Linked DNA regions of Mus musculus: regions 2, 3, 4, 5, 6 and 7 are each reported to be linked to region 1. The links are microRNA targets in miRTarBase. Many come from high-throughput screens and were not tested one by one. Region 1 holds a microRNA gene; each other region holds the end of a gene's coding sequence.

What was found. Region 1 holds the annotated microRNA mmu-miR-181a-5p (AACAUUCAACGCUGUCGGUGAGU, at 1,098-1,120, opposite strand). A microRNA usually pairs through its seed, bases 2 to 8, with sites in the 3' UTR of a target mRNA and lowers its output. Matches are read on the target gene's strand: a 7mer-m8 pairs with bases 2 to 8, a 7mer-A1 pairs with bases 2 to 7 and ends in A, and an 8mer does both.
Region 2: miRTarBase lists Slc38a2 as a target of mmu-miR-181a-5p. Seed matches in the 3' UTR shown: 7mer-m8 at 3,299-3,305.
Region 3: miRTarBase lists Ttyh3 as a target of mmu-miR-181a-5p. Seed matches in the 3' UTR shown: 7mer-m8 at 1,209-1,215 and 8mer at 2,138-2,145.
Region 4: the mRNA of Nr2c2 is a reported target of mmu-miR-181a-5p. The part of its 3' UTR that is shown has no 7-base or 8-base seed match.
Region 5: the mRNA of Ptpn5 is a reported target of mmu-miR-181a-5p. The part of its 3' UTR that is shown has no 7-base or 8-base seed match.
Region 6: the mRNA of Elovl2 is a reported target of mmu-miR-181a-5p. Seed matches in the 3' UTR shown: 7mer-A1 at 959-965.
Region 7: miRTarBase lists Ednrb as a target of mmu-miR-181a-5p. The part of its 3' UTR that is shown has no 7-base or 8-base seed match.

The regions. Positions count from the first base shown.
Region 1 is chr2:38,849,794-38,853,860 of GRCm38, reverse strand. It overlaps Mir181a-2 (microRNA 181a-2), which reads right to left and starts at 1,126; the gene lies at 1,051-1,126. All of the region lies in intron 3 of Nr6a1 (nuclear receptor subfamily 6, group A, member 1), which reads left to right. It overlaps Nr6a1os (a long non-coding RNA gene), which reads right to left. Exons shown (of 7, transcript XR_866167.2): 3 at 1,502-1,646. Mir181b-2 (microRNA 181b-2) reads right to left here and starts at 31; the gene lies at 1-31.
Region 2 is chr15:96,686,459-96,690,525 of GRCm38, forward strand. It overlaps Slc38a2 (solute carrier family 38, member 2), which reads right to left. Exons shown (of 16, transcript NM_175121.4): 16 at 934-3,770. The coding sequence ends at 3,669. Among named protein-coding and RNA genes, the nearest start is that of Slc38a2, 11 kb to the right of the region's middle.
Region 3 is chr5:140,619,655-140,623,721 of GRCm38, reverse strand. Ttyh3 (tweety family member 3) reads left to right here. Exons shown (of 14, transcript NM_175274.5): 14 at 191-3,145. The coding sequence ends at 265. Among named protein-coding and RNA genes, the nearest start is that of Lfng, 14 kb to the right of the region's middle.
Region 4 is chr6:92,166,913-92,170,979 of GRCm38, reverse strand. It overlaps Nr2c2 (nuclear receptor subfamily 2, group C, member 2), which reads right to left. Exons shown (of 15, transcript NM_001347342.1): 15 at 1-3,521. The coding sequence ends at 3,347. It overlaps Mrps25 (mitochondrial ribosomal protein S25), which reads left to right. Exons shown (of 4, transcript NM_025578.4): 4 at 1-1,468. Among named protein-coding and RNA genes, the nearest start is that of Gm46967, 12 kb to the right of the region's middle.
Region 5 is chr7:47,075,457-47,079,523 of GRCm38, forward strand. It overlaps Ptpn5 (protein tyrosine phosphatase, non-receptor type 5), which reads right to left. Exons shown (of 14, transcript NM_001163565.1): 12 at 3,991-4,067; 13 at 3,790-3,903; 14 at 2,342-3,462. The coding sequence ends at 3,369. Among named protein-coding and RNA genes, the nearest start is that of Mir7056, 5.7 kb to the right of the region's middle.
Region 6 is chr13:41,182,035-41,186,101 of GRCm38, reverse strand. Elovl2 (elongation of very long chain fatty acids (FEN1/Elo2, SUR4/Elo3, yeast)-like 2) reads left to right here. Exons shown (of 8, transcript NM_019423.2): 8 at 695-3,720. The coding sequence ends at 808. Among named protein-coding and RNA genes, the nearest start is that of Elovl2, 36 kb to the left of the region's middle.
Region 7 is chr14:103,813,499-103,817,565 of GRCm38, forward strand. Ednrb (endothelin receptor type B) reads right to left here. Exons shown (of 8, transcript NM_001136061.2): 8 at 1,117-3,702. The coding sequence ends at 3,568. The region is part of intron 1 of Gm35197 (a long non-coding RNA gene); the gene reads left to right. Among named protein-coding and RNA genes, the nearest start is that of Ednrb, 29 kb to the right of the region's middle.

The DNA.
Region 1 (4,067 bases):
GACAGCAATGAATGTTGAGTGCAGCCATCAATGTTTCCTTTTGATGAAATTGTCTTGGTCTTTTCTATCTCCTGGCTCTTCTTCCCACTATGGTTCTTTGAAGTCTGTTGTATGTTAGTAACTAGTCATCTGTATGGTTGTGGACTCATAATTATAGATCACCTTGACTGTATAGCAAGAACTTGTTCAAGACAGAAAAGTTGTGAGGAAGAAGGCACTATGTGAGAACCTTGTAAGTAGCTCTGATCACATGGGCTGAGACTTGGATGTTGATGTCTGTAAAGGAGCCCTCAGAGACATTGCTTCATCTTTTGTTTCAAGCTGAGACGTTAAGTGCCCTTTTCAAGGTAAAGCAGTATAGATTATGATTGCAGTTAAGTAAAAATTTTTGTAGTAAACATTTGCTGTGAGCCAGAAACTGTTCAAAGTACCCTCATATATCTTCTCATTAAATTAAAACTCTGAGGTTCTCTCCTCTCCTATTCTACATTTGAGAAAACATACTTGGATACGGAGGCTCAGAGATGACCCAGAATTCCTTAAATTAGCACATGGAGATGGAAATGTATCTGGTTCTCTCATGGAGATGTCAAATCCCTAACCGCAGTAACTGAAACTGGAGGCACAATATGATTTGTATAGACAGTGAGTAACTCTGTGAGTATTTTTGCTGAGTAAATCTCTTGACCCTAAAGCAAAAATTTGAAAGGACGTAGAAGAAATGAGAATAAAAGACTTAACTAGATTTTTTTCCTACAGTAAATAGACATTTTTAATACACCCTATTTCTGACTAGAATGACACATTTCTAGAAGATATTTGAGTGCATTTGGTACTATGATGGCACTTCCCATAAATTGTTAAAATGAAACACTTATTTATCAAGAAATTACAAAAAATAGACAATATAAATACATGGAAGCTTAAAAAAAAAACTTGCTGGTTCCCTTTAGAAAAGAGGCCACAGGACTGTATCTTGTGATGTCTGTCACATGATATATCTGTACAGCCTACTCCTTTGCTTCAGGAAACTTGTTGTCTGTAAGAATCCCAAGGTACAGTCAACGGTCGGTGGTTTTTTTGTTTTTGAATCCCAAACTCACCGACAGCGTTGAATGTTCCATGGAGTCCTCTTAAGGCTGGCTTGGTTGCCCATCTTTGGCCTGCTCTCATATTCTAAGGACCACTGCTGTTGGGTCTCTCACATTCTTCCCAAAATTTCAAGTTAACAGTACTTACACTGTGAAGTTAGTTTGCATAAAGCAGAAATGAGCTGCAGGATTGTGAGACTGCAGTTTACATTGCTGACTAAAAGTGGATATCTGTGGAAATATTTTTCAATGCTATCATTCTGAAAACATCAATATAGCAATTTTGTAGTAATACTTTAATTATTAATGTACAAAAACAAGAAAGACCATAACACATGCTGGGGACTTATGTGTAGTAGGATTTGTATATTTAATTCCAACCGTGTTTTCCTTAAGAAACAGAGACTTACCCGGAGTTCCATAGCCAGAACTTGAACACCAGAGTTCATTGTTCCAGTATTGGTTGGATATGTTGCTTTCTCCTTCCTTTACCAGTCTCAGATTTGAACCTTTACTGCAGAGCTAAATCAAACAAGCAAATTCCTTCTTGTTTGCCTGTAATAGTAGAAAATACATCTAAAGTCATATATTTCAGAGAAAAAGATGAAAAACAAAACTCAGTAGCTGAGAATCATGGGCTGCTAAATTACCACAGAAGTGCTAGTGATGCTCCATGATTTTTTTTCCCCATATAGGAAAAGTAAAAATTCTATGTGTACTAGAGCACAGAGAGTGTATCTGGAGAGATGACTCAGCAGATAAGAACTTGTACTTTTCTAGGCGGGACTTTGATCCCAGCACCTGTCTTAACCACAATCTGTAACTACCAATTCTTGCTGCAGGGATCTGTCAACTCAAGCCTTCACAGGCACTTGAACAAACACACACACACATACATACATACATACATACATACATACATACATACATACATACATTCATTCATACATACATACATACATACATACATACATACATACTTAAAAAATAAAAATCTTTAGAAGAACACAGAGCAACTAAAATGCCAGATGTATCTGATCTTTGTTTTGGGTGGTTATTTTTTATTACTTATTGACTTTCTTTTCCCCCCTCCCTCCCTCTTTTCCTCCTCATTTTTTTCTCCTCTCCTCCCTTCCCATCCCTCCCTCTCTTCCCCTCCCCCTTCCTTCCCCTCCCCTTATCTGGAACTCTCTTTATGTAGAGCAGGCTGCTTCAGACTCAGAGATCTGCCTGCCTTCCTCTGAGTGCTAAGATTAAAGGTTGTATCATCATGCCTGGCTATTTATTGAATATTTTTTATGAAAAGTCTTGAAAACTAATTAAACATTTTTCAGAATATTGGCTTTATTTTAAGCAACATAGAAGCTTTGTAGAGCTGCTGGCTGAATTGAGGTTAATATCTATCTAATCTAGGATACTTTGTGTTTAAATATTTTCTTAAATGTATTTATTAAATTTATTATTTTTATGTGTATGGGTGTTTGCTTAAGTATATGGCTGATAATCTCAAAGGCCAGAGGAATGTGTCAGATTCCCTGGAACTAGAGTTAGATGGTTATAAGCCCACATATGGGTGCTGGGAATCAAACTTGAGTCTTCTGGAAAAGCAGCCAGTACTCTTTTTTTTTTTTAAAGATTTATTTATTTATTATATATGAGTACACCTTAGCTGTCTTTAGACACACCAGAAGAGGGCATCAGATCTCATTACAGATGGTTGTGAGCCACTATGTGGTTGCTGGGATTTGAACTCAGGACCTCTGGAAGAGCAGTTAGTGCTCTTAACTGCTGAGCCATCTCTCCAGCCCCCAGTACTCTTTAACCAATGAGCCATCATTTCTCCAGCCGCTTTGGGTTTAAATACTGATGGTTGACCTAGCTGAAGATTCTTTTTTGTGTTTGTTTGTTTGTTTTCGAGACAGGGTTTCTCTGTATAGCCCTGGCTGTCCTGTAACTTACTCTGTAGACCAGGCTGGCCTCGAACTCAGAACTCAGAGATTCACCTGCCTCTGCCTCCCAAGTGCTGGGATTAAAGGTGTGTGCCACAATGCCCAGTGATGAAGATTCATTTTTAAAGTAGCCAAATGGCACTTCTTGAGAGGGAAAAAAAAAAAAAAATCAGCGAGAATTTGGTTCAAATGGAATTGTTTACATTCTGCATCACTTTATTTCATTCTCCATCAAAATTCTTCTCTTTTTTTTTTAATATTTATTTATTTATTATATGTAAGTACACTGTAGCTGTTCTCAGACACTCCAGAAGAGGGAGTCAGATCTCGTTATGGATGGTTGTGAGCCACCATGTGGTTGCTGGGATTTGAACTCCTGACCTTCGGAAGAGCAGTCGGGTGCTCTTACCCACTGAGCCATCTCACCAGCCCCAAAATTCTTCTCTTGTAATCTTTGCTGAGTTCGGTTGTTGTGAAATGGAAGCCCAAAGAAATGAAAATATAGGGGCTAGAGAGATGGCTCAGTGGTTAAGAGCACTGACTGCTCTTCCAAAGGTCCTGAGTTCAATTCCCAGCAACCACATGGTGGCTCACAACCACCTGTAATGAGATCTGATGCCCTCTTTTGTGTGTCTGAAGACAGCTACAGTGTACTCATATAAGTAAAATAAATTTTTAAAAAGGAAAGGAAGGAAGGAAAGAAGGAAGGTAGGTAGGAAGGAAGGTATCTTCCTGTGTAGTAGTTTAAAACCTCTGGCTTAGGTTTATTTTAAATGGTCTTTGCCTTTGTCTCCTAAGAGATGTCAAGCTTTATATTACTTAGAACAGATAATCAGAAACAGTGATATCTGCTGCACCAAATTAAAATATAAAACCTGTTCTTCAGTGTACAGCATTCCAAGAATCCTGTTCTTGATATGGAGATACTTCCTGTTGTATTTGAGATACTTTTCATCCCCCCCTCCCCCCCCCCAGATAGGGTTTCTCTGGGTAGTCTTGGATGTCCTGAAACTCAACCTATAGACCT
Region 2 (4,067 bases), not on the chromosome of region 1:
CATCTGCATAACCCTCCCAGGGACCCAATGTTCTACCTACCACATCTTGCTTATGCCAACTTGCAGGTTATCATCGCTTTTCTTCCAAGTCATCTCTCCAGGTATGAGGATGTCTGATTCAATGTCTCAAAGGGCTTTGAGGAATCACTTAGAAATGGCTGGCTCACTGGTTAGTGCCACTGGACACTCTGTGGACTTCCCCCCCCCCCCCATGCATTACCAATCCTAAATGCTTAAACTGTAGCCTAACAAAGCACTAGATCAAAACCAACATCAGAACCAACATGACAGAACCCCACCACTACTTCGACGTCAACTGCACACAGTAGATGTCCAGTGGATGCCTATTAAAACCTTAGCTCTGCATAAGCCCTTAGCCATTTTGTAATGGCACTGCAAATTTGGGACATCTCTCAGACCTGTGCCTTTGGAAGCCTTTTGTTTTATTAAAACCTGAAAGGACTGGGTTATACCTAAGCTAAGTTGCCGTTCAGGTTCCTAAGGAAGACCATGCCTTCACAACCATCAAAACCTGACTTCCTCTCACACCCAGGATTCCTTAATGTCCAGTGTGCATCAGGACTGCTTTCGAATGCCAGAGAGCACTGCTGTCAACTTGGATGCACGACAGGTTACCACCAGCATGGTTAAGCCTGGATCTCCACCTCCCTAACTTTGTTTTTTTTTTGAGACAGGGCTTCTCTCTATAGTCCTGGCTGTCCTGGAACTCACTTTGTGGACCAGGCTGGCCTCGAACTCAGAAATCTGCCTGCCTCTTCCTCCCGAGTGCTGGGATTAAAGGCGTGCGCCACCACACCCAGCTCACCTCCCTAACTTTTAACTCTGCAAGCTTGGTAGAACAGTTTCTTCCTCCACACGTACCTCTGGCCCTCAACTCATTACCCAGAAGGAAACAAAAAATCCTACTGAGGATTGATTAATCATGTATTTATTTTAGTTCAGTTAAAACAAACATACATTGTTTCATTGAAACCGGTGTAGCATTTACTCTCTGCCAACAGGCCACAGAGGCATGTTGGCCTCTAACAGTACAGCTGGGACATTTACACTATATACATACAAGGAGTCCTCTTTCATTGAGATCACACTTGACATGTTACCAGATAGCCATGTGGTAGCTACTGCATTTTGAAAATTTAGACCTCATTTAAAGCTTTAGATTATCTGAACTTAAGTTGATGTCCAACCAGTTTATTGCAAATACAATTTAAACAAGTTATTTTCAATTTTAGTATTATACACAATGTCAATTTCTTAAGATTGAATTCTCTGTACAAGTAATTTGGAGACATATATAATGTGAATTCATCAAAATGCAGTTAAGAAACTTAGGGGAATATATACACTTGAACCCAATTCCAACAGTATATACAATCTATTTACAAATACATATGGACAATATATGTACAGTTTATCATAAATATTGAAAAATAGGTTAGCTTTAATGGATTAATGCTGCTCTATAAATAACAGTACAGTTATTGAAACGTTCCATGGAAGACAGCGATGTGAATTGAGGTGACGGGACAGTGGTTTTAATACTGAAGACTGCTCAAGGCTGAGAATTCAGTTCAGGAACCTCAAGGCGGGTAAAACAGCCCCAAGCTTTGGAATTTGGCCTGAAATTCATTTGGAACCTTGCTCCCTCACAGGAGGTTTGGGAAGTCTCTCCACACTGATCGGCTGTGAACAGGATCCTGGTTGTCATGGCACCTCTCAGGATGCCTGCCTCTCAGCATCCCCTGGCATATGGTAGCCAGGACTCTTTCCAGGACTTCAAGCGGAGGTGCAGAGTCTTTGACGAGCAGGTGAGGTTCTGGACTTGATGACAAGTAAGCAGCATGGGGGAGTGTCTTCTCACTGCCTTTGCGTCTACACAGTCCCCAGGGGTTTCATCTTGGGACAGAACTGACCATTGGTTGTACCCAATGTATGTAGCACTACCAGACGTCTTCCAGTCTGCAAGAGTCTTTAATGGCAGACATACCTTGCCTATGAATTCAGTCACATATACAATACAAGACTGTAACAAAAACCATGTGTGTCACATTTCTTCTGGCCCCTGCCTCAAACTCAAAACATGTAGTTTCAAGAGCCAGATAACCAATTGACGATTCTACTTGCTTCCCTCCACCACTTAATGGAATTATGTATATTAATTAGACCTTAGACAATACGCTTGATGAGCAAAGTACCTCATTATTTAAAAATATGTTCACCATACACCGTTAACAGACAGTAAATGTGCTCTTAAAGCCAAGCTTCCAAGTAATGTCTTCACGTTTAACTGGAATTGAAATGGAAAGGTAAGCATGCGGCTGGACCAGACACCGAGGACAGGCAGCTTGTCCCGCCTCCCCTAGCTGATCATTTGTTCGATGTAAACAAATTGATTCTGCATCTCATTCAATGAGATGATGATCCAGTTCGAGTTTTTAGGAAGCTTGCTGCATGAGAAACCTTTCTGAGGAGGGCCTGCAGTGTACCTGCATGGTGCAGCCTGGACTGCCAACACAGCAGGAGCACCACTGAGCTGCGTGTTGTCAAGTAAACCACGCTTCCAGTAGATGAGCCTTTGGAAGTTCTGCTCTCTATTGGACAGTTTTGGCCTATTGCCATCAAACGCCCGTTTTCACTTTTGGAAGCAAGGTTTTAAAGGATGGGCCCAAAAAGCACGACCCAGAGCTGACACTGTAACTCTGGAGACCGATGCAACTGAATAAACCCTGTCTTACCCAATTGCACTATTTGGTACCTCAAAATCAGTTATTTCATTTCCTACAGAAATCTCGGCACTGTTTCCCAGACTAATTGAAGACATAAACATTTTAGTTGTAATGAACCAATTATTTGGAGGCAAAGAAAGCGATGAACGGAGTTCACCTGACTTGGTGCAGCAACGACCAACTATCCTTCAAATGAATCTGAATGAACAAAAACAAAACCATGCTAATCCATGGTGCAATTTTTTGTAACATTTTTCCCGAAAATGATTTTTGGGTAAAAAAGTATTTGGCTTATAATGCCCACAAAAAAGGCAAATAATTTCATAATACTAATATTCATTTTTAAATATCAATGAAATTGTTTGATGGAGTTTATTGACAACTGGTTCTGAGTAAAGTTCAAAAATGCAATTTCTTCAAAGTAAAATAGTGCTTCTGAGGTCTTTTAAAGTATTTTTTGGTACAAAAAATAAGTGTATTTTCTCAATGCTTATTTCAATACTTTGCTGTAAATTAAGAAGTGTTTCTCACATCGAATGGTTCCGTTAGGCACATTCAAGTAAAATCATAAAATATCCAAGTTAAACAATGAGACAGCCAAACATGTGGCTTTGATAAAAAGTTAAAAGTTCGTCCATTCTCTGGAATGGAATAAACTTGTCACTTCCCTTAACCCAAGGCTCGTGGTTTTGTCGTACTATCCATTCCCTAACACACAGATAGCTTCTTAAAAAAAAAAAACAAAAACAAAAACAAAAAACCAAAGAGAAAGAAAAGTTCACTTATTCTGAATCCAGAAGAACCAGCGAGTAGACTGCACTTCAAAAGGAAGTGACCGGGACGCATCAGGTGAGACTGAGCAGGCTGAGTCGACTCAACACGGTAGGCAGGCGGATGGACCATCCAGCGTGAGGGGAGCTGTTAGTGCCCACCTGCAGCGGAGGCATCGTGGACCCAATCCAGCACAATCAAGCCCATGCTTCCAATCATCACCACTATGCCACTCAGGAGAAAACACAGAGCCTGCAGGAGGCAGAGAAGACTCATCAGTAAGGCCCCAAGAGTTCACATCACAACACTTACAAATACTCTAATTTCACCTGACTGTTCTTAAAGTCATCAAACCATTCCTGTGTTTCTTGTAGCACAGAAATCCTGTATTGCTGAAACCTTCTGAGTTCTGTAATTTTTCATTCTTTTTTTTTCCCCTCAAGCCAAAGTTCTCCCTTTGAAAGTTAGACTTTGTGTGTACGCAAGCTTTCTTTCAGAGCAAATTAAGTCACAAAAAAAAAAAATCAAGCCCAGGTTAAGTCCTAGAGT
Region 3 (4,067 bases), not on the chromosome of region 1:
TAACCTGTACTCAGCCCTTGGTCCAGCCCTGGGCCAGTGGCCTCTTACCTTAGGATTCCGCCAACCATGCTCTCCCCAAGGGTCGGCTGTGGCTCACCCTACCAAGGACCACATCAAAGAGGCTGCTGGCTGCTCAGCCCCCACCTAGGAACTCACCTGACCCTGCTCCCTCCTTCCCTCTCTCCTCTAGTACACCTCCAGCATGAGAGCCAAATACCTCGCCACGAGCCAGCCTCGCCCCGACTCCAGCGGCAGCGGGCACTAGACCGCACACCGGCCAGCCATCTGCCCCCACGTGCCAATGCCCCACCCTTCCTATGCCAGCACCGCTGCTTCCGCCCTGCTGGACCTTCCACAAGCCACACCGGGCCAGCCCTAGGCACACCTGAAGGCCCCCCCGCTATACCCACCCTGCAGGAGGCATGGAGGTGCCCAGCATGAGCTCCGGGCCAGCCTGTGAAGTGAGGCTTCTGGGGTGCTCACCTGGACAGTCGCTGCCACCAGCAACCTGACCCTGCCTGCCTCCGTCTCCCCTGCCCTTCTGTCCTCTTGGGCTCCCTGAGCCCTGCTCTGTGCCGGGTGCTTCCACCCTGCCTGCGTTCCTTCTACAGGTGACCCTTCATGCTGCCCCTTGCACTCTGGGCGTCCCCCTCCCCACAGCTACAGCGAGCCTTTCCTGGTACTGCCCTACCGCCACACTCCTGAGAATCCCATCTCCATTCACAGGCAGGGGACCCTGTGCCTGGCGCCCACCTGCTCATCACCGAACGGCCCCTTCATACTCTCTGGTCTTTGCAACGTCCGGCGCCTGCCTTCCCTTAGCCACCTGGCTTACTTGGCTCTTCCTGTTGGTTCTGAGCTGCCTCTAGGGTGGGGCTCTTCTTACACCTCCTCCCCACATGACTCTTCCCTCAGTGCCCAGCCAGCCCTCCCCAGACAGCAGGTGCCAAGCTGAGCCCAGGTCACTCCCTGGCCTCTCAGTGCTGGCCACCTTCTTGGTGCCAAACCCTCTTTCCCATTCATTCCTGAAGAGTGGCAGCTTTGTCTTCCCCTTTGTTTTTGCACTGACCACACTTGTCATCTCCAGGGCAGTCTGGGACATAGGCGACGCAGGACACTGCCCACTTTCCTCTCGGTTTCATTCTCACCCAGGACAAGCGGCAGTGCCCTCTGGAGCCCAGCCTTGGGGGCTGGACCTGTGACGGCTGTGAATGTGCCCCCAGCCTCAGAAGGCCCCCCCCACCCCCCGCTGGGACTAACCACTAACCTCACTCTCAGCTGCCATGGGCACTCCTGGCTGACCCTGAGCCAGCAAGCGTGACCCTAAGTCTAGCCTGGAGCCAGGGCTAGAGTGGTCATTTCTTTGTGGGGTGCTGCCAGGGAGGGGCCAGACCCACAGGCTACTCAAAGGGCCTAGAGACCCCTCCCCAGGCAGGTGCTGCCCCAGGAGGAGCATGTCCTGGGGTCCGGGGACTGAAGTCCATGTGGCCTCAGCCCCCCACACCCAGAACACCGCTTGCCTAAGGTGCTTTTGGCTTTAGTGTGTGATGTTTGCTGTGCTTCTGGGCTGAATTAGCTTCCAAATCAGGACCTGGAGCCTCTACCCTGGCCCAGCCAGCCAGTGTGAGCTCTGGTCTGTGAGATGGGCAGCTACGGGCCAGTGGAGCAGCATGTGGTGGGAGGGGCAAGGCTGGGACCCAGTGGTTTACAGACCTGTGGCCCTCCTGGAGCAACCTGGCAGCTACGGATCCCAGAACCCCCTGGGCTTCAGCTCCCCCAGAGGGGAGAGGCTCCACGTTGCTTTCCTTCCCCAAAATCCCTTTCTTTGTGCTGGTGTCTGGGACCAAAAGGAGTGGGCAGAGGACTCGGAGGGCCTAGGGGTCCCAGTCGGGGCATCTGTAGCTCCTAAGCACGACAACATCAGTGCAGGGGACCCTGGCCTTGACTCCAACTGGCCTGGCGCCAGGAACCTCCAGGGCCAGAGCAGCCCAGCTGCAGCCAGCCTGCCCACTATGGGTATGTTCCTGGCCTAAGGTCCGGAGGGAGGTTTGGGGTATCCCTGCCTGGGTGCCTGGGTGTGCCCTGGGGCCTCTCAGAAGCACAAATGCTGCCCCCTGGCCGTGAGCAGGCCACAAGGTGAATGTATATAGCATGAGAGGCGGGCACTGCCCGGACGTGGCTGTGAACTTGTGCTGTCTCGGGAGTCCTGACCTTCTGTGCGTGAGTGCCCCCATCTGTGACGTTTCACTCACCGAGGCTGAAGAAAGGAAGCAGGGGAAATGAAAGCAGGGGTTTCTCGCCCTGACCCCTGCGGAGGAGACGGCTCCTACCACTGCGGTTGGCTTCATTTCGTTTTCCTGATTTCTGGGGTGCCACTTACCTACTCAATCCCAGTGGTCCACCCCCACATCCCCAGGGAGTGAGCAGTCCAGTGCCAGCTGCCTGTGATTGGTCCCCAGTCCCTATTACCCAAGGGGACCCTACAGCTCTGGTGGGTAACAAGGAGGGCTAAGCCACCAAACCAGAGCCCGATCCCTTGCCGAGCCAGGAGGAGGGATCTGGCTGAGAAAACTGATAGGACTGGAGGCCCCCACCCCAACCAACACTCTCTGGTTTATGTGAGTAGCAGAAGATCCCGGCCTGGAGCATCCTTCAAGCCCTTCTCCCTGTGCCCACCCCGCCCCCCCCCCCCCCCATATCACTATGCAATTCTTGACCCCAGCTCCAAAGCTTGCCCTACCCGGTCCCAGCTCTGTCCGGCCCAGAAGGTGGCTAGCTGGTGGGCCACAGGTGACCAGGGTCTCTTTGTTTTTCATCACAGCGGTGGTGTGCCGCACCCTTCCTCCCATATGTGATTTTGTGAGATTGCCTCCCAGTTACGGTCCCTCTGCCTGCATCTGCCCCCAGTGGACTATGTCATCTGAATCGAGCCAGCCCCAAGTTCCCCTCCAGCCTCTGTAGGGCCATGGCTGTGTGTTACTGTTGCTGTGCTTTCATTTTTTAAACTGGGTTTGGGGTTTGATTTTTATTTCTGTGGGGAACTTTATTTTTCTTGGCAAATAACTAAAGTTCTTGTCCATGTAATTTCTGTGGTCTCTATTCAGCTTGGGTTTCATGTTTTAAAATAAACAATTTTAAGAAACAGCTCTCTCTCTCTCTCTCTCTCTCTCTCTCTCTCTCTCTCTCTCTCTCTCTCTCTCATTCTCATCATGAACACTGTACACAGAGTAGCTCAGGCTAGGGACACAGGGTTGCTGAATGAGGTCTGTGGGAGCAATTGGCTGGGAAGGAGCCGTAGAGTGACACTATCTAGTATTCATTTCGACTGAATTGCTCTAGCTGCTGAGTCAGGAAGGGATGAAGGACGTATAGAAGCCAAGGACCAATCAGAAAGCTCTGTACTAAAGCATGGCTCCAGGGAGGGGCTGGGGCTGTGGCTCAGTGGTAGAGCCCCTGAGTGGTAGAGCCCTGCCTAGAATTCCCCAGGGAGGCTCTGGAGGCGTGGCTAAGTGGGAGAGCCCCTGCCTAGAATCCCCCAGTGATGGGCTAGAGTGTGGCTCAGTGGTCCTACCTAGAGGCCCCCAGTGAGGGAGCTGTATGTGAAAGCTGAAACAAGGTTCAAGGGAGGCGAGGGTCCAGCAGGAGGCACTGGTCCCCCCATCAGGAGAGTACTTGCCAGTCTGAATCCACAATGCCCAGAGGTTTATGTTGAGGAGGAAAGTGGATGGTAGTTCTGCTGAGAATGCTTGTGCTGGCACCTGCGGCTTGAGCCACACTGATAGGCAGCCCGAGACAGCACATGAGCCTTCTACTTGACTCCCTTATTGCATAAATCAGACATTAGAAGGCCAGGGATGTATTCAGGACTTTGAGCATTCACCTAACATATGCGAGACCCATGGCTCTATTTTCAGCACTACTAAGGGAGAAAGACCAATAAATCAGAAGGGAATATATTTAGTATCACATGGAACTTACGCCAAAGCAAAGGCCTGCAGTTCTTCCTGGTTGTAGCCCTAGATCTGGGGGAGGGTCTCTGGAAAGCTGGCACTCACACTGGGAGTCCC
Region 4 (4,067 bases), not on the chromosome of region 1:
ATGAGGAGGTCCAGAACCTTGTACAAAACACCTAGGTCAACCTCATCTCATTTTGGAGTTGTCTTTAGAAATTGACATAAGAGTTAAGACTTTTTGCAAAGAACCGTAATCTGGAGATTGGTTCTCCGTAATTGGAGATAGGCAAAGGAAAGAGGTGGGCATCTGTCTTACCAGGACCTTCCCCCTGGGAAAAAAAAGCAGCTGTCAAGTGATGCTTTTCAAGGCCTGGATCTAGAATTTCAGCAGCACCAACAGCCCCGCTGCACCCAGCCACTGGAAAGCAGCAACAGTCTTCCAGACCCCCATGACATCAGGTCCCAGACAATAGGTCCAGCTCTTAGGGATACTGACCAGAGAACTGCATGAGCAGTACTACCCTTCAAAACAATTTTATATAGTGTGGATGCTGCTGCTCCATTTGAAAGCCATACTGACCACCCTGATTGATGCCATGACTACCTCAGAACACCATCCACATCTAATACTGACACTGACAAACTAGAAAACCATTCCAAGGGCATAAGTGACTCACTTGAATTTCATTATAGAAACTCAAGACACCACAACCCCAACTGCAGCCTCAGAAAGAGAAGAGGCAGTGAAGAGCCTCTTCAACACACACTGCAAACTGGAAGGACAGCGACACATTGTAACATTTGAGGAGTAACTAGGATGACTTGCTTAAGGAATTTGGTCTCTGTCTACATCTCCTGTCATATTTTATCCCAAATTTTAACATGGAACTATCAACATTTAAGACCTTTCTGGAAAAGAGCCTAGTTAGCCAGGGTTGGTGTGTATCTCTCCACCCTAGCCTATCTGCAAAAGTAGCCAGGTCAGTGTGTCTGTCCACCTCCCTGAGAGGGGTGTCTAGACAGGTCAGCCCTGCTTCATAAGGCTTGGAGTATCACAGACTCATAAATCAAGGGTGGAAAGCCCTGAAAGCTGAAGCCCAGAAGCAACTGGGGCTGACCTTCATAGGTCATTCGACAAGCCATGGAATGGAGCATCATTCAAAGTTTGAAATGATTTCAGTTAATGAGAACATTGTATGGATACAATTGTTAAAGGTAAGGCCACAACGATCTGGACAACCAGTGAAGGAGTTTGGCCCAAAGTGGCCCTGTCAATTGGCCATTACTAATGACGGAACTTACAAAGGACCAGAGTTAGAATCACCAACTCTTTTCTATATTAAAAAAAAAAAAATTTTTCCCCCTTCAGTGTCATCTTAGAGGCTGGTACTTCTTATCCAACTATGTGGTCTAAATACCAAATGGGAGCCAGGCTGTCCAGGCCCTGTCTGAGTGGCTCACATTCTAAAACCCTAAGGGAAGCAAAGCCAGCACTGTAAGGTGTACTGATTAATGTACTACAGGAATCTCTACAGAGATTAAAATAGACTCGAACTATACTGGTGTCCAGAGCTTTTGTCTTAATTTTGAATACATACATAAAAAAAAAAAAAGCTTTAAGCTGGCAAAATTATGTCCTTTCCATCATTTTATACTGGCAATCCCTGCTGTTCTCCAACACTGGCTTCCAAATCTAGCTGGGAATTTAGAAGTTAGAGATACTTCTGTACTTAAATCCCACTAGCAGTGAATAAAGTGTCATTAACTCCTCAAAAGGAAACAGCCTATCTAGCCTTGAGCCCCATGGCTGTACCTGCCCATAAACAGGTACAAACTTAACCTTACAGGAGGTATTTTGCTTAAGTTCTGCTAATCTAAATGCAAATACCAAGTATATTTCCACTTTTTTTTTTCCCAGTCTCCTGTCCATAGGAATGCAAAGAGCTTTAAGTCAGATCTAACTTCCTTGGAACTGAATTCTGTATTCTTTCTTGTTGGAAACTATAGTCATTATAACGTAAGGGAATTTGTGAATGAAGGTTTTTCTTTTTTCTTTTGGTACTGGGGATGGAACCCAAGACCTTGTGCATGCTAGGCAAGCACATTACCACTTAAGTCACCACCCTACCCCACTCCCTTAAACTCCTTTAAAACTCAGGAGTTTCCTCATTAAGTTGCGCAGATTGGCCTTCAAAGTATAATTCTTGTGCCTCAGCCTCCCAAGTGCTGGGGTTACAGGCCTGCACTATGTGCCCTGACTGAGGATTATTTTTGGATTCTCTTTCAGAGAGAAGATGATCTACTTTTGTTATCTCAAATGCCCCAGAGAGCTTTGTTGGACTAGCACATACCTGGGAGAACTGAAGAACATCGTGTCCCAGTACACTAAAATCACTAATACTTAAAAGATCAGAAAGTATTTCTCTTGATGCCTTTTGTTTCACAATCTAAGGCCAGTCCCTCACCAGACAGCGAGGATACACAACCCCCACCCAGCTGCAGGTTCTGAATGATCAGATACTGGCCCCTCTCCACATGCACCAGGAATAGGAACTCTCACTGCAGAAGCCACACTCAACCTGGACAACAGGTCATGTCAAAGGGTGCAGTCAACCACCTTGCACTCTGGTCAAAGGCTCCAGTTCCTACAAGTTGGTAGAGGGATCCAGGTGTACTTTCAGTCACTGGAAGAATTACAGGACCCTTATCACAGGCATTCTGACAAGCTGCAATCTAATTCTGAAAATTAGTGGAGCCCATGTTCTGGAAGAGTCTGCAGAAAGGCATCAGGGATTGGGACCAACCATGAGGGTAAGGACCCTGACAGGCTATCTCTGCTGGCATAGCAGCTCTTATTGGGTCACTGCAAGTTATATCCCCTGCACACAATGCCAGGAATCCACATTTTACTCACAGGAATTTAGCGTAGCACCACCACTGCACACAGCTAGAAGTGCTGCCCTCTTACAAATGTGAACGATTGTCTCCTGTACCCTAGTGAATTTTCACAGAAATCATTAGCATTTTGACAAAAGAGACACAGTTTTCCATTTGCCCTGTCCACAGGTAAGATGTTAACATTGCAGATTTGATAAGAAGTGCTTAGAAAGTGCTAACATTACCCTGGTAATTAGTAGCTATTAATTCCAAGGACTTTTTTTTTTTAATGTATTTACACATACTGTTCTTAGGTTCTTTTAATACTAGTCTCTGACATTATAAAACTTCAGTATTGTTTTTTGCCCTTTGAGAATTTTAAAATACAAATTGAATTAAAAGATTGTTCCAAAATCTGCATCACCAAAAGGTGTTAAAACATTTCTTAGGGCAGGGAAGAGTTCATCTTTAGTTGCTATTGTCTGGGATGAACAGGAAGAAGTGGCTGACACACTGGAGACACCTGTGCACACCAAGACACTGCTACACTTCCCTTCCCTTGCACCTGCACAGTTCTAGGAGGCATCCCACTGTTGGCAGCTGTTGGTTGTGCACTATAGACTGGCTCCAGTGATCTGGCCATTATATTCTGCTGTCTCCATCTTGAGGATGTAAGGAATTATGCTGTCTATTGAAACATTGCCAATGAGACCAGTAAAAAAAAGTTCTTCTGTTATGTTGGAGCTCATGAGCCTGAGTGCTGGTAGGCGGACAAGAATCCTGGCCAATCTGGAAGAGAGAGCAGGCATTAGAGAAATGAGGTGTCTGGTTGCCTGTGGCCAATTCTTGGAGGTCCTTTTGGCTCCATGTACAACTAAACCAAACAGACCTACTATATCAATCTGATTTTGTTGTTGAAATTAAAAAATACAACAAAAGTTTAGCATGAAGGTAAAAAAAGTATAAAAGGTGTGTATGTGTATAGGATTGGTGAGATGCTCAGTAGATAAAGGCCACTGACTACAGTACCTGACACCCTGAGCTTGATCTCCAGAATCCATATTGTGGAAGGAGAGAACTAACTCCTACACTTGGGTTATAATTGCACATATGCACACCTTCAATCCCAGCACTCGGGAGGCAGAGGCAGGTGGATTTCTGAGTTCGAGGCCAGCCTGGTCTACAGAGTGAGTTCCTGGATAGCCAGGGCTACACAGAGAAACCCTGTCTCAAAAAAACCAAAAAAAAAAAAAAAAAAAAGAAAGAAAGATTACACATATGCATGCCCATACACATACAACATAAATGCAAAAACCATTTCTAATAGTAACTATG
Region 5 (4,067 bases), not on the chromosome of region 1:
TCCCACTGTACATGTCAGGAGGCCTGTCAGACACACAGTTCTGCCCCTGTGTTCTCTCTGTGCCTTGGGGGTCTCCGTATACCAGTTTACAAGGCTTTTTCTTTGTTCTGGATGATAACCCTGGTGTTGCAGTGAGTGGGTGTACCTGCCTCTTAGTTAACCTGTGTGGTAGTTTTTTTGTTTTTTTGTTTTTTTGTTTTTTTTTTTTTGTTTTTTTTTTTTTGAGACAGGGTTTCTCTGTATAGCCCTGGCTGTCCTGGAACTCACTTTGTAGACCAGGCTGGCCTCGAACTCAGAAATCTGCCTGCCTCTGCCTCCTGAGTGCTTTACAGGCGTGTGCCACCACGCCCGCTATGTGGTAGTTTTTAAGAATCTGTTTTGCATATGAGGAAACATGTGTGACTGAAATGACCTACCCAGATTTGTCACCAAGAAAAGCATCTGGGATTCTTGCTCCTCCAGCCCTGCCTTGTCCCAGTGGCCTCCAGGCTTAAAGCCTTCTCCCGAGCAGGTGCTCTGAGGCTAGTGCCCAGTTCCTGCCTTACTATATACCTTCCATCTCTGGTTCTGAGACCATTTATTCTGCCTCAGACCATATCCCTTTCTTGTACAGAAAGTACCAGTTCGTGGCTCTTTCCAGGGGAGATGGCAGGAAGCCTTAGCTTCTGTACTAACCTGTGCCTTCTAACCTTTGAATACTGTGCCTGTGACTTGGAGGCTCAGCTACTGCTCTGCCAGTAGGATGGCCGGTCTCCTCCCTCTTTGTTCCAATAGCAGGCACTGGTCATTGCCAGATCCCTAGATGCTGTATAGACCTTTGGGGGAGTCTTTTTCTTAGGCTCTTGTCTCAGCACTGGGGCACACAGCTTGGTGGTAGGAATTAGGGGAGGGGAGCAAGCTGGACCCAAGAATGGGCAGAATGCCGGGGATCAGGCCTGAGGGAAGCTGAGGCGGCAGGCAAGCAGTTTGCTTCCTGTGCCTTATGCCTTCTGCTTCTCACTGCTGTAGGTTGGGACCTCTCCAAGCTGAGGGGCTCAGGTTGGCATATGTGCCTGTCCGTGCCTGGGCACAATAGCACGCACAGCTTAACAGGGTTTGGGGAAAAAGTCAGAGGCGTTTGTCTCTCCAGTACTGGGAAGAGGGGCACTCGATGAGTCTGGTGGATGTACCGCTTAGCACAAGTCCTGGGGAATACCGTTTGTGCTGCGTTCTGTGGCCTGGTGGGGCAAGGGATAACATTAGACCTCCTCCTTCCTACTCCTCCTCAGTCTGAAATCTACATAGAAAGGCTCATTCTCTGGGTGGGAGATCTCCCTGAGCTGGCATCCCTGCTTTGGACCTATTGACTAGTCCATTTACCCCATGTTAGCCCCATGGGTCCCAATAGCGGCTGCAAACCAGCAGTTTCCCATGGAAGTAAGGCCTGGGCTGAGAGTAGCTCCTCCCCCACAAAGGGCCCCAGGGAACTAGATCATAAGCCACTTGGGACACTTCTCTGCTTTTATCCCTGGCCCCTGGGATGAAGCAAAGGTAGCTGTGATTCTCTGCTGGGAAACGGAAGTCACCCTGGGGCAGGGCTACTGGCCAGCCAGCAGGGCCTTAAAAGATTCAACCATGGAGGGGATACCACGGATAATAAGGAAAAAAAATAAGGGTGTCTAAAGCTCAGATGGGGTTCCAGAGAAAAGGAGTGTGCTATCCAATGAGAGAGGAGCCTGGGTGAGATGGAAATGTCTTCTTGCCCTGCCCTTGGGCTCCTTGGCTCACCTGTTGTAGTTGGTGACCTGTTAGTTACTTTGCCTTCCTGGAATCGTCCCATACACATCTTTGAGGTTCCCTATGGTGTGGTGCACCTCTGTGGGCTGGGGCTGAAGGCAAGTGGGAATTCTTTTTTTTTTTTTTTTAAAGGTTTATTTATTTATTATATGTAAGTACACTGTAGCTGTCTTCAGACACTCCAGAAGAGGGAGTCAGATCTCGTTACGGATGGTTGTGAGCCACCATGTGGTTGCTGGGATTTGAACTCCTGACCTTCGGAAGAGCAGTCGGGTGCTCTTACCCACTGAGCCATCTCACCAGCCCGCAAGTGGGAATTCTGAGGTATTTATTAATAGACTGTTTTTTTTTTTTTTTCTTTTTTAAACCCAGCTTTATGTATATTCACAATCTCCACAGGGGGCGCCAGCGAGCATGAGGGCCAACTTTATGCACATGTGCTGGGAAGCAGGAGCTAGGGGCGGGGAGGGGTGTGGGTGTGGGTGTGGGTGTGGGGAGGTGGGGGGTGCACACAAAAGCCTAGGGTGTCAGGAGAGAGCAGGAAATGACAGACCCAAGAGGCTAGTTTTGCTCAAAATGCTCTGTTTATTGCTCTATTCAATGACCACGAGCGGATTAAAAAAAGACACCAAATGTCTCCGTTTGCCGTGGAATAAATATTTAAAGTCAGCAATAAAAACACGTGGCTCCAAGATAACACATGTTGCCAAAGAGTCATGCATGCCCTGTTCATGGGCTCTCAACACACGCATGGACAAGGGAACACACACAGAGCAACATGTAGGGAGACACTTGCGGTTTCCCATAGTGACACAGAAAGATGTCTCACAGGTCTGGAGCTGTCCACATCCTACTCTTGGAGGCCCCCCTCAGGGCTCAGATCTTTGGGGTTCCCCACTATATCTGTCCTCTTCCTCTCCAGTGCCACATAGACTGGAGATACTCATCTTTGCCCAGGAACTGTCTTAGCTGGGATCTCTCTGTCAACCATCATGTGCTCCCCTGCCTGGTCTCTGCCATCCACATCCTGGTAGCAAAATGCACTCTGCCTTTGCAGAGGAGCCAGTGGGGCCAGAGGAAGGTCAGTATCTCTGCCTGGGGAGCAGGGTGGGAGTCTGGTGTGGGGATGTGGGTGAGGGCTGAGGGGTGAGAGCTTAGTTCAGTGCTCCTTTCCTGGCTGAGGGGACACAGTGTTTGGTACAAATAGCTGTGATAGATGGACAGACAGAACACATTATGGTAGGACACTTGGGGTGTGGCATGGAAACATTTTGGACCAAGTAGCTGTGGAACCATGGTTAAAACTGAGGCCCTCAGGTCTATATGGTGTGGGTCAGGCCCAGGGGCCCCAGGCCTGGCCTGGCACATTCCTCCCCTGCCCTCCCCAACTCTGCAGTATATACAGTAGGAGAGCTAGGCTTGGGGTAGGGACCAGGCCAGGACAATAGATGGGGAACAGACTGAAGAGAGGGGAGGATGAGGGGGAGGGCCAGGGAATAGGCCCAGGACCCAAGGCAAGATCTTGGGTAGTTGGGGTAAAGACCCAGCCTCAGGCTTGGCAGTACCCAGTGGATCTCAGAGGAAGAGCGTGGTCACTCTGAGGACTGGAGGGACAGCTGCTTCTCATAGAGGCTCATGGCGTGGTGCACAAACTGGTACTGTTCGCATGTCTGGATCATGCCACCCCTGCCCAGTAGAGATGCAGTAGGCTGCGGGAGGGCCACCAACACTAGGGGCACCAGCTAGTCTGCAGCTTAGAGAGACCAACTCTTCCCAGCCACTGCCCTCTGCCCCTTCCTTTCAGGGCCACACCTTTGTTTTCAGCACTGTCTTTCCAAACCAGCTGCCTCTCTTCTGCCTTCTTCCAGAAGAGAGCTGACTGGATTCTGTGCTCTCCCATTTGGTTTTTCAGTTCCCTAGCCACCTTACACACTATGTCTGGTTTGTCAGCTATCCCTCGATTCACGCTCACATCATGTTGCCACCCTCTCCTCCCCTGATCAGCGGGCTAACCTGTCCTGACGGAGCTGGCACGTGGTCTTCAGGATGTCCACCACGCCCTCACGTCGCAGCTGCTGGCAGCAGATGCTGGTGGCAATGAAGCAGCCAGTTCTCCCAATCCCTGCACTGAGGGCCAAGGGGATGATGGGGTAAGGGACAGAGCAGTCCAGGGATGGGGTGGCCCGGCTCCAGTGGGTGGCCAGGAGAACCCACCTGCAGTGAACGATGATTGGGGAACAATGGGGTCCCTCTTGTTGGGCTGCCTCCTCCACTTCCCGTACCAGGTGCAG
Region 6 (4,067 bases), not on the chromosome of region 1:
TTCCGACTGAATCTTAGTTCTGACCTTACATCATCCCAGTCTTGGCTCTTGCTAATACCATCATTGCCTTTTAAAATGTAAAAGCACCGCTATCCTAGCACTAGGGATGTAGAAGCAGATGATCAAGGTAACTGTGGGTTACATAGCAAGTTGGAGACGAACCTGAGCTGTGTGAGACTTTGTTTCAATAAGCAAACATGAGAGGACAGACCAGGTATTTCATCAGAATGACAGAGAGGGACATCCAGGGCTGGCATAGAGCTCTGTGGCAGTTGACATCCTTACCATGTATGAGTCCTGCTTTCCATCTATAGTACTAAAGCCCTGTCAGAATCAGAAGATGTAATTAAATTGCAATCTCAAAATAAAAAACATAAAATAGCAGCTCCTTTTACTCTGAATTTTAAAGGAAGTTATTATGTTTTTCCAAGTGAACAACCAATGAAAGAGATTGATCGCTAGCAAATTATGATGTCACTCAGATAAAGTGAAGTAGCTTTGTCTGACATTCATGTGTCTGTGTTGGCTTTTACCTGAGCTTTGCAGCAGAGGCTTAAAAATGAACAAATTCTTATTAGAAGGTCCAACGCCAAGGAAAACTGTGTAGAACTTTAACTACATGCTATGTCGGGAGTTAGAGACAAGGCCTTATTAAAATGCCTCCCTGCTTCTTCTCCTGTCTACACTCTGACAGACATACCGGAAAAAGCCAGTGAAGAAAGAGCTGCAAGAGAAAGAAGTGAAGAATGGTTTCCCCAAAGCCCACTTAATTGTGGCTAATGGCATGACGGACAAGAAGGCTCAATAAAATGAAGTGCCGGGGAACACAAACTGAGGTGGTGGCGGCGGCGGCGGCGGCAGCAAACAGACGAGCTTGTTTTAAAGCAGAGACTGAATAGAAAGTTGTATGTTTTAGCATAAACTAATTCCTTTTGAGTTTGTAAATCATTTGTACCCAGAATGTATTATAATATATTGCTATTAGGTTACTCTACTAACTGGAGCCATGCCGACCTCTACAAACCTTGAACAGGTGCACAGCCCCCTCTCCGGAGCGCTTTGTAATGCCTTATTCACGTCGAAAACCAGGAGACTCGGGCTTCGTTTCTTCATGGCAAGTCTTCAGAGTTAATTTTCTTTAGATGTGTAAAACTGTTCATTGTAGTGTAAATGTCAGGGTCTGTTCTAGTCTATGTCAAGCAATAACTGTCAGTGCATAAATCGATTAGTCTGCTGTTGCTTAAGGCAGCAGCCCCAGGCAGCATTTAAGCGGGATCCTTAGCAAGACAGAATCCAGCAAAACCCTTTCCCCTCTCAAGCCAGGAGTCTCATCTGCTACATTTTTTTTAACCACCTCTGATTTCCAACTTAGTGATGTGGTAATGAAATTCGTTTGTCTTCAATATAGTTTGAAGATTAGTCATTCCATGAAGGAACAGCCTCTTGAGCTGGGTATGGTGGCACCCATCTGTGAGTCCAGCATTTGGGTATTGAGACAGCCTAGGGTACACAGGCACAAGACCCTGTCTCAACCAGAAAAGAAAAATGTGTTTGCCAAATCATAACTCAGGGGCTTTGAACAGAGCTGTCTCTGTTTCAATTGGCATCCTTGCTCATCCATTCCTGTCTACCTCCCTTGTTAGTCTAGATTTCTGGAGTTATGTTCCCCACATCCAAAGCCAGTGTCTACATACAGCTGCCATGCCCTTTCTGAACAAAGGCTGGAGTTGTCCAATTGCAGTTCTTCTTCGCATAGAAATGCAATTGGAATATTTACAAATCATAATCAACAGAGCCCCAGGGGCAAAATAGACATTCTATTTGTCAGCTGTTGCTGCTGAGCCTGCTGGTGAACACCATTGCAAGCAGTTGCTGAGCCTGCTGGTGAACACCATTGCAAGCAGTTGCTGAGCCTGCTCGTGAACACCATTGCAAGCCATTGCTGTCAAGCTTCATGAGTTAAATTTAACTGTTAGAGAGGAGAAAAGCATAGCAGTCATTTGGAACGATCTCGTGGGGTGGGACTAAGCCATAATGATGTGTCTGGCTCAAGCAGCAATGCTGTCCCTGCTCAGAACTGTGGTCTCTGTGGAGAACCTAGTACAGAGCCTGAGCAAGGCAATGGACCACCTCCTTTTCCTCAAACTGATGGATCACCACTGTTAATCTATACCAGGTGTGAAAAAGGGCATTTCCCAAAACATACACAAAACACAACTTACTCTATTTCCCCTCCATTTCAGCAAATGTGTTCTTGGTTCATGGCACTGGCACCCAGCGCATGGGCACCAGGTAGGTGTTCCTCGAGTGCCAACGGCGGGGCCTGCCCACCCCTGTCTTCCTTTCTGGGCAAGCTCCCATTTTAACTTTTCCCTGTTAAAAATTGTACTGATGTTTTAAACTCGTAACTATACCACCCTTCTCACTGGTGTATTTTGAAAACCACCACAGTCCGATGTCCTGTGCCATGTCTGTCATTCCTGTTGAACAGACTCTTCCTGTCTGGTGACCACCTATGCTTCAGTGCATTTTCTAAACAATTTCTCAAACTGATCTGCTCCCGGGTGCTTTCTTACCACCATCTCTGGTGACTTAGCCTCAAATTGGTGTTTTTCTTTCCCAAGAATTCATCTTAAGGGTTAGCTTTGAGTATGTTACTGTCCTTCTATGACAAGACCAAAGGAACAAACTCCTTGGTGAATCTGGAGTTCAGCTTTAGTTTTCAAACACAATCTGAAATCTGTTAGTAAAATGAATTCTGGGTAAAAATGAGACTCAAGAGGCATCACTGGCCATTGTACCAGATTATTCCTGCTCGCCAGTGAGAGGCGTTTAAGTCGCGCTGTGCATCGTACCTTCAGTTTAGGCTGTTTTCATGACCTCACATCTGTGTAGCACAAAGGGTGTTATCTTCCTATAGCAGATCAACAGTGGCAGCTCACAGTACCAGCCAGCTTTAGACCTCCCAGTGCAAAGCCCAGCGCAGCACTAAGCCTTAAGCCACCCAAGGGCTGACACACCATGCAGAGCTACGAAATCTGTGCTGAGAAAATGCCATCTGGAAAGATTTTTAACCCATTCATTCTTAGTGTGAATTTTCTAAAATAGAAGTATAAAAAAAAAGTCTCTATAATCTGATAGGAAACCGTCTTTTCCCAAGTGAATTCCCTTTTATTCATGAGAACAAAAGTACTTAGATACTATAAAACCTTAATTTCCCCAACTTTTAAAATAAAATGGAATATTTGCTGAATGAATTAAGCATAGAAAATGTCAACCCATCAGAATTATATTTATACATATTGGTGGATAAGTTCTTGTCTTCCCACATCAGAGAATTTTTTTTTAAACCAAAATGGGCAGAATAGCATTTTGTATGTTAGAGACCATTCTTTTCTAGTCCTTCCAAACATTCCTGTGTCACTTAAGAATGTTAGTAGAGGTCGCTTCTTTGGAAATTGAGGACTTTTTTTTTTCCTTTGAAAGTATGGCATCTGAAGAACACAGTATCATGACTCGGGTGGAAAGGGAGGCAGAAGCCATTTTTCTTTTAGATGAAAAGCATTCTGTGTGATTGTTGTATAATAAATTGATTTTTACACTAAAACATCTTGCAACTTTTCTTATTTGGTTCAAAGAAACTAAAATGTGGGCCTGTGCAGTATTCCAAGTGGCCTATTATTCAGAGATTATTTACCAATAAAGTGATATATTAGTGATTAATCTTAGATTCTTAATTCATTTCAACAAGCAGTGGGATGTTAAAGTAACATTATTAATGCAATACTTATATACCCAGTTAAACTATCTCAGAAGGAAAAATTAATAGCAATCAGATAAGCAGAGGCTACAACTATTAGAAACTACTTACTATAAAGAATAAAAATATATCATGATGCACTATATATATTATAGTACAGTAACTATACCATAGCACACTACACTATGCAATGGGAGCACAAGTGACATTGGTTACCAATACTCTGGGCACCTGCAGTGTCAGCGGCGATTTCTTCTCAGGAGCTGAAGCAGGGCCACAGTCTACTGTTTGTCAGCACAGAGGCTAC
Region 7 (4,067 bases), not on the chromosome of region 1:
CTGAGCAGTTTGGGAGAGGCCCTTCACATGCTATTTGTTGTCAATTTTAGCCTTCGGAGGTCTTGACTTTTGTCTTTTATCTCTTCTACCATATTTTCAAATTTCAAGAGCACTATCTGAATTTCTAAGTTTTCTTTTGAATATTAAGCACCTTGATTTGGTTTCCTTTGTCTTACATCTCTGGGAAAATCAAGCCTAATCATGTGGACTTTTTCTTTTGCTTCTTCATGCATCTCCCACATTAATTGCAAGTTTCCTAAGATGCTTATTGGCTTATTCACTCACTCATACTTTAAAATGTGGCACCAATACTTCACTTACAGCTTTTATGCATGCGCACAGAATGGAGATGGCACACACCCTGTTCAGAGAGAACTTTCCTTACTCTCTATGTGTACATAAGAAGGATCCCCAATATGTGAAATTAGAAAATGATCAACTGGGAAGGATGGCTAAGTATGTGTGATCAGAAAATGATCAACCATGAGTGATAGCTACATATGTGTAATAAGACATAGCAAGGCCATTATAGTGGCATTTAAATTCACTTTCCTTGATAATTATGTGTTTAACATAAATGATGTCCATTTACTGTTGGGCCCCATTTTGGCCCTGGTTTGGGCCTTGAGGATAAGCCCCAGCCTGGCTCGAGTTTCTGCAGCGTTGTGGGAGAGCCTAAGCCTGGCTCTAATTTTGTGACCTGCCTCAGTCACTTCTGTTATCAGAGTGACTCAGCAAGACCTGTTTGGCCCTGCCTTTGCCCTGTTGCTGATGTAGAGCTCTGCCATTGTCAGTCCCTCCATACCCTCTGTCACCATTCCATGTCTTCAATGTCATCTTACCCCACCAAAAATCCCCTCCCAATGTTCTGAACTTATTTAAGAGAGGCTGATGCCATAAAGTTGAGTTCCTGCTTCAACAAGACTCCCAGCTCGGTGCGTTTCTTTGGGCTGTGGACACTCACCATCCTGCTCAGCCCCAGAGAGACCCCGGTGGGCGGGACCAGCAGTTCTCTCCTCTCTCCTGGGCCTGCCGGCAAGGAGCAGGCACAGTTACAGCATCTCTATTCATTTTAATGATTGACTTAGGATTTATGAATGAGTAGCGAAAGATAAGCTGCTCTTTTAAACCATTTGAACGTTTATTGGTTTTGCTTACTCAACAAGAAGTTAGCAACGACACAAGCTGCCACTTTAGGTGACCAGAGCAAAACAAAACACAGTTATTTTACACGGCTTTATTACAAGTGCATGTTAGGTACAACACACCCGCATTTGGATGAAAACAGTGTTCCTTTGGCTGTTGCACATTATCAATACTGAAAATGTTTGAACACAGACCAAAAATAGCAGTAAATAATTTGGGAGAAAATAGGCTGAAGTCACTTACAAATCGTTTGACCTCTAACATCCTTGTTAACACTATTTTTATGCATTGCTATATTAGGCTACTTAAATGTTAGAAAATATGCTTTAAATTAGATGGTACCTTCTCTTATCTTGGTTTTAATTATGCAAGGGAATCATGTTTTTTTTCTTATCACCCTTGGTCTGTGTGCTAAAATTTTTAATAAAAAAGCCACTTAATATAGTTTTATTGTATATATTATGTGAATAGTATTCTTATGCCATTTCATAATTTGGCAGGACGATTATTGCCCATGAAGAGGGAAGGAACATCTGGGTTAAACAAAGATGTTAGGACTTAAGAATTTAGAACACAACAATAAAACCAATCTAAAACTTAGTAAAAATTAAAAATATATCCACGCTGTGAAACTACTGGGGAGCCAATAACTAACTTAAAATTGAAGATCTGGGGCGTCCTTTATGATTAAAAAGCAATCTGTACACACAAGAACTGTGGGTGACTCCTAAAGAGAGTCATGTGTCACGTGGATTCAGTATTGTTCTTGGTTTTTTACCTCATTGTCCCGTTTGGGTTTATTGTATTGTCACAATGATTTTGGTAGAAAACTGCATTGTTAAGCTCATTTTCAACATGTGGCCTGGGTTATGAAAAGAAGAGAAGAGAAGAGAAGAGAAGAGAAGAGAAGAGAAGAGAAGAGAAGAGAAGAAAGAGAAAAAGGAAGGAAGGAAAATCTGTTATATTTTAAGACAAGGTTAAAGCTCTCGGGCTTGGTTTGTTCCCGAGTCACGCTGAGAACGCTGCGCTTTGTTTTGCTGGAGCCGAACCAGGACCTTTCACACCGACATGACGTGGCAGTGACGAACACAGGGCTAAGAATGGGAATATTTCCCCACGGGCTTCCTCTGGCCCCACCTCATTTCCTCTCTCTTCAGTTTTCTCTTGGGCATTCTTTCACACACCGCTCATCCGGAGTGAACCTAAGGCACGTCGTGGAAGGAGATTAAAAAAAAAAAAAAAAAACCTAGACAAGAATGCGCAAAGAGGAGGATCTTGCAGACCCCGAAGCAGTTTGGCTTCTACGTTTTAGAAAAAGCACCATGTCCAGAACGCCTTTCTATTGGCTATTTTCAGGAATAACATAAAAAGTTGGTAGTATGCCTCCGAGAGAGCTGGTTACAGTGACTATTTTCTATGGCGTTAAACCACGGTATTTTCGCTATCATATTGTGCTGTGGACCATTTTCTCTACAGCATGGCTGAAAGGATGCTCCCTGCTTCTTTGCCATGTGGACACTGCACCGGGCAATTCACATTCTGTCTATAACCGGGTTACTGGCATCTCTTTGTCAGAAAGCTACGAACGCTGGGACCTGCCCTTTGTTAAGTCCTCTACGTGTAGTGCTTATAGCTAATAGCTAAGTATTTACAGATGATGAAGTTGAACACATGGAATTTAAACTTCAATCATGAAAGGATATTTGAAAGAACTTTAAAGAAATCATAGGTAGTGTTCTGTTTTGTGTCTTTCTGCAGAGTATGTGTGAGGGAATTTCAGAAGTCTCAGGCATAGCAGCTCACGCTTTCCCATGTTTTCTCTGTGGCATTCGCAGGCTGTCTTTTCTTCCCCCGAATTCTGATCATTTCAATGTTGGTAATGACCAAAAAAGTTTACCAACCATATTGCCTTTTCTTTTGCATATAGTTACAATCAGATTAGTGGGTATGATAGTATGCATAAAAATTTATTAGTTTTTTTTTTTTTAAGTTTCAAATTAAGCAATTGAAACTTCGTTTTAAGAATTGTTTTGCAATGTCATGCTTTCTTGAATCCAGATTCATAGGACTGGATAATAAACTCCTGAACAGAACTTCAGTGAAGTTCTCGTTTTTTTAAACGTAAGTGGCATGTGAACGCACTAGGGGCTTTTAAGAGCTCTGCTGAAGTGCTGACTAAGAATCTAAGTGCTTCCCCACGGAGGAGGGCTTCATTCCTTCCCACAGCTTTCTTAGGTTGTAAACAGCCCGTGAATATATCCGGTGTTGAGCGTCAGAACAGTTAAAAATAATCCCTCTCACACGCGCGCACACCTTTCTGCTAGCATGGTTTTTTCCATTTTGATTTGGCAACGGTTTCATTTTGTTTTAATGGTATCTGTCCACAATGAGGACAGTGAGATTCGGCGAGTGTTCTTGCCTTCAAGACGAGCTGTATTTATTGCTGGACCGGAAGTTGTCATATCCGTGATCGTTGGCTTTGAACTTCAGGCAGGACTGCTTCTCCTCCAAGGACTGCTTTTCCTCAAACGTTTGGCACCAGCAGCACAAACATGACTGTATGAAACAGAACGACCATTACATGCGTACTCAGGCACACGGCCACCGCTCTGCTCTTCTTGCGCTGGGGCTCTGACTATCCTTGCAAGTGTGGGGTTCCGGTTCCCTCTCTTTCCATACCCCCTTTACCCCCCCCCCTTAAAAAAGAGATGCAATTAAGGCCAGCAAGATGGCCTGGAGACATGTTTGAGCACTAGAACTCATGGTGGAAAGAGAACAGACATCTGAAAGTTGTCTATGTGCACACACACATGCACATGTGTGTGTGTGTGTGTGCACAGATTCTGATACACACATGCACACACACACACATAGTAGCACTTATGCATCATGTGATGCATATATACCTTGCATTCACACAA